Mus musculus: one gene and its partner. Each later gene encodes a partner of the first gene's protein in a complex. Links are inferred from orthologs where the notes say so. Each region holds a gene or a part of one and is shown on either strand. Other genes may lie near its edges.

The links.
Region 2: Coro2a (region 1) and Gps2 share a complex: the UniProt entries of both Homo sapiens proteins name them as parts of the N-Cor repressor complex. The link is inferred for Mus musculus from reciprocal best matches to the Homo sapiens genes CORO2A and GPS2.

Annotation. Positions count from the first base shown.
Region 1 is NC_000070.6:46,599,130-46,603,420, reverse strand, and holds the start of Coro2a (coronin-2A), read left to right. Parts: upstream 1-1,491; 5' UTR 1,492-1,604; intron 1,605-4,291.
Region 2 is NC_000077.6:69,912,682-69,916,821, forward strand, and holds Gps2 (G protein pathway suppressor 2), read left to right. Parts: upstream 1-1,338; 5' UTR 1,339-1,658; coding exon 1,659-1,752; intron 1,753-2,070; coding exon 2,071-2,180; intron 2,181-2,251; coding exon 2,252-2,364; intron 2,365-2,457; coding exon 2,458-2,537; intron 2,538-2,626; coding exon 2,627-2,709; intron 2,710-2,949; coding exon 2,950-3,103; intron 3,104-3,183; coding exon 3,184-3,273; intron 3,274-3,351; coding exon 3,352-3,431; intron 3,432-3,516; coding exon 3,517-3,612; intron 3,613-3,738; coding exon 3,739-3,822; downstream 3,823-4,140. Other genes in the region: Neurl4 (neuralized-like protein 4), read left to right, coding at 446-650. UniProt on the Homo sapiens protein: Key regulator of inflammation, lipid metabolism and mitochondrion homeostasis that acts by inhibiting the activity of the ubiquitin-conjugating enzyme UBE2N/Ubc13, thereby inhibiting 'Lys-63'-linked ubiquitination.

The DNA of each region.
Region 1 (4,291 bases):
CATGGTGGCCCCAGCCTTTAGGAGGTAGACAGGAGAATGAGTTCATGGGTTCTTCTTAGTTCATAGACAGTCTAAGACCGACCTGGGCTATGTGGGACCCTCCTTAAAAAAATTAATAAATGGGCTGGTAAAATGCCTAAGAGGGTGATAGTGCTGTCTCAGGAGCCAGGCAGCCTGAGACCTGTCCCCAGGAACCATGTAAAAAGCTGAATGCAGCCCTCCTACTTGGAGATGGGAGGCATCTGATATATTGCCCGATAGCTCAGGGACAGTCAGCCAGGAATATGTAGCATTGCAGAAATAAGATGAAAGGAAAGAACTAACTTCTGAAAGTTTGCACACACACACACACACACACACACACACACACACACTCGTTAAAAAGTGACAAAAATGTTTTAGATTACCATGGACCCTTGAGGGCAAAGGTCCAACTGCTGCGGTTGTGCGCTGTGTGCTTCTGCCAGTGCAGCTCCAAGCGGGATGCAGGGGGAATTCAGACGTGGGAAACCCACAGCTCTAGGAAGAAAACCGGCCCAGGGCCCTGTGGTTCAGCAGGAACTAGAGGAAGGCTTTAGCGACTGCTGTTCTAAAGTGATCAAGGACTCACCAGAGCTGAGTGTGGTGGTGTAGTCCTACAATCCCAGCTCCTAGAGGCTGAGGGAGGAAGATGGCTAGTTCAAAGCCAACCTAAGCAATTTAGTGAACTCTTGTTTCAGAAAAAGAGGAGAGGTCTCACAGTGTAGCTCAAAGGTAGAATACTTGCCTGGCAAGCATATGCACGGTCCTAATGTTCAATCCCACCATCACAAATCATACACACACACACATTAAATTTGTTATAGAGCCTACCAAGAACTCAGCTAAAGTCTCAACTTCTTGTCTATGAAATGGGAGTATTATGACTACATTGAAGGCGTTGGTAGATCAAATGTAATAAATTGTGTTCTTAGTTAACAATATATACAATACCTACTTTGTGCCAGGTACAGTGCTAGTCTCCCTCCTCCCCCCCGCCCCCCACCAAACACATCACTACAAGACACGAAGAACACTTTCCAAGACAGGTGGTGTGGCGTGGTTATTATGAAAGATATGACGTCCTATCTTCCATATTCAGTGAGCACCCGGCTGAAAGAGGGAGCGGCTTGGACGCAGCGCCCCCTAATGGCAGCAGTGGGAAGGATCTCCCGGATGCGCAGCCGCCCTCCGCTCTCCAGTTCTCCCGCCGCCTGCAGAGCTGCGGTCCCGGCGCTCGCTGCGGGATCCAGCTTCGAGCCATCTGGGAGGCAGGCGCGATGACAGTCTCCATCTCAGCAAGGGGAAACTGAGGTTCGGGACCCGAGTCCCACCCAAAGCCTGCGGCGAGAGCGTGTCGGAGGCGAGAGTGTGTGCACGCGGGACGGGAACCGAGCTGCGGGCGACGGGCGGCGCACAGGCGGGGCCTCTCCGTCCCGCCCCGCCCCGACCCCGCCCGGCCCGGTCCCGCCCGCCGGGCTGCGCGGGGAGGCGGCGGCACTGGGCGCGGGGACTCGGCGGGCGGCGCGAAGCGCGGAGCGGGAGCCGGAGCCGCCGCCGCCGCCACCTGCGCGGCAGCCAACAAGGTAGGGTGGGACCGGGCCGGGCGGGACGCTCGCTGCGCCCGGGCTGCGGCTCTGTGGCGGGAGGGATGCTGTCCCCGGCGTCGCGGAGACCTATCCTCCAGACCCCCGCACGATCTCACACAAAGCTCTGCCCCGCTCCAGTCCTCAGTTTCCCCATCGGGATACTGGTGCGGCCGCTCCCTCAGTGGGTGACTAGGAGCAGCGACCCCCAGGTTCGCGCTCCAGAGGTTAGGGGCCAGTCCTTACCGCCCGCGCCTCTTGCGGCGGTGAGCGGCCCGCCCTGGGCGCGGCAGCCAGTCTCGACAGGCCCCGGTGTGGCCCAGGTGCCCCGTGGACCCGAGTCGTGATTGTTCCTGTCCTGGCTGGGTTACCCGCGGGGGCCTCAGCTTCCAGTCCCGGGAAACGGTGGAGGAGGAAGCATCCCTGAGTCCCTGCCGAGGCGACCTGGGCGCGCGGGTGGGGCGAGCAGTCTGCTACCCAGACCAGGCTCATCGCCTGGAGCTGGAGGAGGAGCCCCGCGCTGGCAATGGCCAGATCTCAGCCTCAGACCTGCCTGGACCCGAGCCGAGCAAACACCCACCTGCATTCGGGCAATGGAGAAGGACGTCCTGGTCCGCGCCCTGGCCAGCTGCCGGAGCCCAGTTCTGCGTACCAGCCTGGTGGGACAGGGTTGGTACTACCACACTCGGTCCTCAGTCCACTTGCCAGGAAAACAGTGTCTCCGGGGGTTGGGGGACTGAGCATGTATCTAGGGGTGCAGTGACTCCAGGATCTTTAAAGACCTCTGGTGTAGGGCTGGGAAGTTCTATAAGATGCCTTTTGATGAAGGTCTTATGTTGCATTCTTCTCGAGATGGGGACTCTCACTAGCGAAACTGGGGAATCTGGTCCCACTGTGGCTGCAATCCTGATAGTGTCCCTTAGCTAGCATGTGGCCCTTCTGTCTCAGAGCCTGCTCTTCTGCGAATGCTCCAGGGACTTGTTCATAACCACCTGTGCCTCAGCACAGGAATGTGTCCTTACACGTCCCTCGCCTCCAGACATCTCTTGAGGGATGTGGAGGGAGAGAAAGGCTTAAGCCCATCTCTGGACACTTCTGCCTCATTTCCTGACATCTGTCCCCACTAAGGAACAGGCTCAGCACCTCCTGATCGCCTGTCTCCCTCTCCCTCACCCAAGGACTTTCTTAAGGCTAAAAGAGGAGACCCTTCCCTTTCCCCAGGCCAGCGCCGGTAGTGAGCCCTACGTCATCTAAGTGTACAGGCAGAGGGCTGGGTGGGCATCATAGGGTGCTGTGCGTTGCCAGGGCCAAAGCAGTGTGGCAGGGGACCTTGCCCTGTGGCCCCAACCTGGAGCTTCGCTGCAAATGAGTGTTATTATCCCCTCATAAAGGGAGACTAAGTATAAGTGTGGCTGCCAGAGCCCAGCGCCAGCTCGAAAGCCTAAGTACCACCTGAGTCCCCTGTCATTGGGAACGTTTGTGATCTGGGAGGCTACAGTGATGGCGCATGAGCAGGCAGGTCCTGATTATTACAAAGTCATCCCGAACTTTAAAAATGTACTGTGGAGTTGTGGATTCTCTGACCTGAAAGGGTCTCTAGAAACCATCTCATCCCAGGCCCTTATTCTAGGGGCAGTCTAGAAACCGTCTATCTCATCCAACGCTCGTATTCTATGGGCATATAATCACCTGTCCCAGGAGGGGGTGTGCCTGGTAAAGGCCACACAACAAACCAGCCAGGAATCCTAATTCCAAGAATGGGGTGCTTAGCAGCTAGGGTGCAGCTCAGTCGGCAGAGTTCCATCCCCAAAACCGAATCGACCGAACTTGGAGATTCACTTGGAGGATGGGGAATTCATCCACCAAAGCCAGGCTATCCTCTGCTACAAATGGAGATCAAGGATAGCCTGGGGTACATGAGACCCAAGGGGTGGGGGTGGGGACATAAAACATATCATAAATGAAACAGTCTCATTGCTTCGTAAAAGCAACAGGATATAAACATAGAAGGTTAAAAAAACCGTGCTGGTAGCCGGGTGGTGGTGGTGCACGCCTTTAATCCCAGCACTCGGGAGGCAGAAGCTGGCGGATTTCTGAGTTCGAGGCCAGCCTGGTCTACAAAGTGAGTTCCAGGACAGCCAGGGCTATACAGAGAAACCCTGTCTCGACAAACCAAAAAAAAAAAAAAAAAAAAAAAAAAAAAAACGTGCTGGCAAGGTTGCAAGCTTTTGCCTGAGGTGTGTCATTTTGTAGAGTAACCATAGAAACAAAAGTCTGTGAAATGGATCTACCTGCCCTTTGCTCCCAGGCCTCTCCTTCGGGGACTTCACCCCTGAGGAGGTCACTAGAGAGACACGGGTGTATTACTGCTATCCTGGAGTGTCCTGACAGTGAAGAAACATTCTGAGACTTCTGGGACACTGAAAAAAAGGCTAAGAGGCAACGGCAAGATAATACATACACACACACACACACACACACACACACACACATACATGGCCCAAGTGGTCTGGAGGAAAGACCGTGAGACAGGGTGGCAGACACAAACCCTGTCCCCTCTGTGATCTCTGGCCTGCTGGTTTCCACCTCAGTTTCTCCATCTGGGAAGTGGGCGTGGCCTCGATGGTGACTGAGTCTGCACAGCTCAGCAATGGAGCCTTCTACAGGAGGAGCAGAGTGCTCTGGAC
Region 2 (4,140 bases), on another chromosome or scaffold:
CCTGCACCAGGCAATGGGTTTGACCCCTTGTACTACCTAAACTGTGCTTGCGCATTGTAACAAATTCCTGGAGTCCTAACACTAAGTGGCAGGGTCAGTGGGTCGGAAGTTTAAGGTTGTCCTTCCTTTATAGGGAGGTTGACTCCAGCCTGGTAGAGACCCTATACTGTCTCCCAAAAGTGGGTGAAGTAGATGAGAAGTGCACTTGGAGTGTTTGGAAGACGTGAACTAGAGTGCCAGGGTAAATAAACACATGAAGAGTGCTGGGGAGGAGTTAGCTGAGCAGGCCAGGGGAGGAGAGTACTACATACACAATAGTTGGTGCTAAGCCAGTCACGGTGAACAGTATTTCCCAGAAAACAGCAAGGCCTGGGTGGAGGGGGCAGAATTAGCAGTCATGGACCTTGGGAGCCTTACTCTTCTCTCGTTTCTGCTTGGCTAACAGATTCCGGGACCCAAAATCCCAGCGGACACACCAGGCTCAGGTGGCCTTTCAGGTGTGTGTGCGCCCTGGCTCCTATACTCCTGGCCCTCCCTCTGCGGCCCTCAGAGAACTTCCTGACCAGCACTTCAGCCCATCGGAACTTGAGTGGGTCACTAAGGAGAAGGGAGCCACACTCCTCTATGCCCTGCTGGTACGAGTGGAATAAGGGGTGACATACCACTACTCCAAGCACAGCCGGGCCTCAAGCCCAGGACTCTTGAATGACGACTGCCTCCACCTCATTCCCGTGACTGAGAGCATGTCCAGTGCTGTCCTGGCAAGGAGGAGCACGTAGGCAGGCTTTGATTTAGAGCAGGTGTGAAGCACATCTCTACATTCAGGGCCCAGCACACTCCCTCTGCTGAGAGGGAGCCCAGCTCGTCTCGGGGTCCCCCCTTCATGCACTGACTTGGGGAACATGACTCCCTATTATTACCCTCCCCCATATCACTTAATTTATTTCCGTTTTTGTTTCTGGTTACTGTGAATCCCAAAGGAGTCTCTCTGTGCCCACATGAAGCTGCTTTTTCCGTGGCCACTGGGCGCCATGGGGAGGGAGTGGGTAAAAGGAAGGGCTGCCCGAGGACGCTGTGGGCCTCTGTACAGTTGTTACTGACTCTGATTTCTAAGGAGCCAATAAATACTGTCTTCAGAGCATCTGCCTCCGCCTCTGTCTCCCGCGGCCTCGCGAGTGAAGAGTTCTAGGGGCTTTATCATCCCAGGCCGCTCTGTAAATCCACATGGAGTTTGGACATCCCGGCACCCGTCTCTAAGCGCTTCCGCCTTCCCTTTCCTCCAATCGGCTGTGCCGTTTGCCGTCGTGACTCCGGAAGGATTTATCCTGGCCGCCGGATATGACGTAGAGGCCAAGGCGCGCCGAAGGCCTCGGAGAAAGCGCCGACAAGGCGGGTTGCGGGGGTTGGCGCCAGGGCTACGAGGGAGGGGCGGGGGCGCGGAGCCTAAGACCCTCGCACGCGCCCCGGCGCTGAGGCAGAGACCCCGGAGGGACGCTGGTGCCCGGGACACGTGATCGAAGTGGCGAGCGGGCGGCGGACGGGCTTCCGCTTCGGCGCGTCGCAGTCTCTCTAAGCTCCCACTTCCCTGCAGGCCCCGCCTGAGGTCTGGCAGTCAGTGAGAGTCGGGTGCCCACTGCCCAAGCGTCACCAACAGCATCATGCCCGCACTCCTGGAGCGCCCCAAGCTTTCCAACGCTATGGCCAGGGCTCTGCACCGGCACATCATGATGGAGCGGGAGCGCAAACGGCAGGGTGAGCCTGGGCCAGAGCGGGAGGACAGACACTCGGCTCAGGGTGGCCCTGCTACCCACGAACTTGCCCCCATCCACGGGCCCAGCTGTGCGCCTGCTGGCGAGGCTAAGAGGGAGGCAGCGGCGCCTTCGGGGTGTGAGTGAAGAGGCCCAGTCTAAGTTCCAGACCAGAACCCTGGGCTGGGAAGGACCTTGGAGAGCACCTAATGAAGCCAAGTTCTCCCTGTGGCTGTGATGGAGTAACTGGTTTTTGCTGGTCTTCAGTCTAACGCTCAGCTTATTCACACCGCCTTGCCACTTCCCCGTTCTGATTCTTCAGAGGAGGAAGAGGTGGACAAGATGATGGAACAGAAGATGAAAGAAGAGCAGGAGAGAAGAAAGAAAAAGGAAATGGAAGAGAGAATGTCACTAGAGGAGACCAAGGAACAGGTAAGTAGCCTCTCCACACTTGTTTCTCGATGCCTTCTTTTCCCTGCTTTAGCTGCTCGTCCCTCTTCCAGATCCTGAAGCTGCAGGAGAAGCTTTCTGCTCTACAGGAGGAGAAGCACCAGCTTTTCTTGCAGCTCAAGAAAGTTTTGCATGAGGAAGAAAAACGGAGGCGAAAGGAACAGAGGTGTGATGAGATGGCTAAAAGTAAAATTGTGCAGTGGCACAGGTGACAATCTAATAGCAAGAGGCTAACTGACCTGTCTTCCTTCCACTCCAGTGACTTAACCACTCTGACATCAGCTGCATACCAGCAGAGCCTGACGGTTCATACAGGAACCCACCTCCTCAGCATGCAGGGTGAGAGGACTGAGGAAACCGCCTAACAGGGGAGTTCTCCAGGAGGTCGCTGCCTATTTTAGCATCGTGAAACCTCTCCCCCTTTCTAGGGAGCCCTGGAGGACACAATCGCCCAGGTACTCTGATGGCAGCTGACAGAGCCAAGCAGATGTTTGGACCACAAGTGCTTACGGTGAGGGAAAGGTTTTTTGATTTTTTTTAACTCTTCAGGCTGGCTTTTTAAGTTACTAGCCAAGACTAGTCTTGAAATCTGATCCTAACTCCATGTCTCCTCCTTCTGTGGATCAGTACTGTTAATCCCAATCATTCAAGAACAAATATACCAAGCATGTGTATGTAGGAGCTGAGCGTAAAGGCATATATATATACATATGGGGTTTTTCCTAAGCAGTGAGCTTTCATTTCCCCTTAGACCCGGCACTACGTGGGATCAGCAGCTGCTTTTGCAGGAACCCCAGAACATGGACAATTCCAAGGCAGTCCAGGGGGTGCTTATGGGACTGCTCAGCCCCCACCTCATTATGGGCCAACACAACCAGCCTATAGTCCTAGCCAGCAGCTCAGAGGTGAGTGTTGTTCTCCTCAGACTAGGGGCAAGAAGAGCAAGAGCATCAAACCCTAACAGATCATCTCCCACCTTCCTCAGCCCCATCAGCATTTCCTGCAGTGCAGTACCTATCTCAGCCACAGCCACAACCCTATGCAGTGCATGGCCACTTTCAGCCCACTCAGACAGGTGAGATCCCCCTGGGCAGGAGCCCTACCTTCAGGAGTCCTACTGCCACCTGCTCATTTCAAACTCTCCTCCCCTCAGGGTTCCTCCAGCCCGGCAGTACCCTCTCTTTGCAGAAACAGATGGAGCATGCCAACCAGCAGACCAGCTTCTCGGACTCAGTGAGTATGGAGTCCTGGGAGGCCAAGGTGCTAAGATGAGGGGAGCCCCAGGATGCCTCCCTTTAAGGTCAGCTTTGTCTCCTAGTCTTCTCTGCGGCCCATGCACCCCCAAGCTCTGCATCCAGCCCCTGGACTCCTGGCTTCCCCCCAGCTTCCCGTACAGATACAAGCAGCAGGGAAGGTAAGGCTGGCAATCAAACCTACATATACTACCAGGGAAAGACTAACCTCTTACTGTAACTGTCCCCTCCCCCTTGTGCTGAGTGCTGGAATACCTACCCACTGATAAAACTCTTATCATTACCAGTCAGGCTTTGCCACCACCAGCCAACCTGGCCCCCGACTCCCTTTCATCCAACACAGCCAGAACCCAAGATTCTATCACAAGTAACCACCAGAGAGCTCCAGCCCACCCTCCATCCCTCAGGCTGGGGTCTTATGTGCCCCAAACCAATAAAATGTACAAAATGTACCCACCATCATGCCTGAGTGCTGTTTATTTGCTTCCTATCCAACTGCCTAAACCACAAAGGCTACTATGAAGTCTCAGCATTTCTAGATTCTAAAAGTACCTTTCAATCAACAAATAAACAACTGAGTTGGGGGCTTCATATTAAACTTGTAGTTTTATTCAGGTTTGATTTTTAACAAATGTGTCAGGGAGAGAGCCCACAGGAAAGGGTAAAGCCCGTGGGGGCAAGGCCTTCCC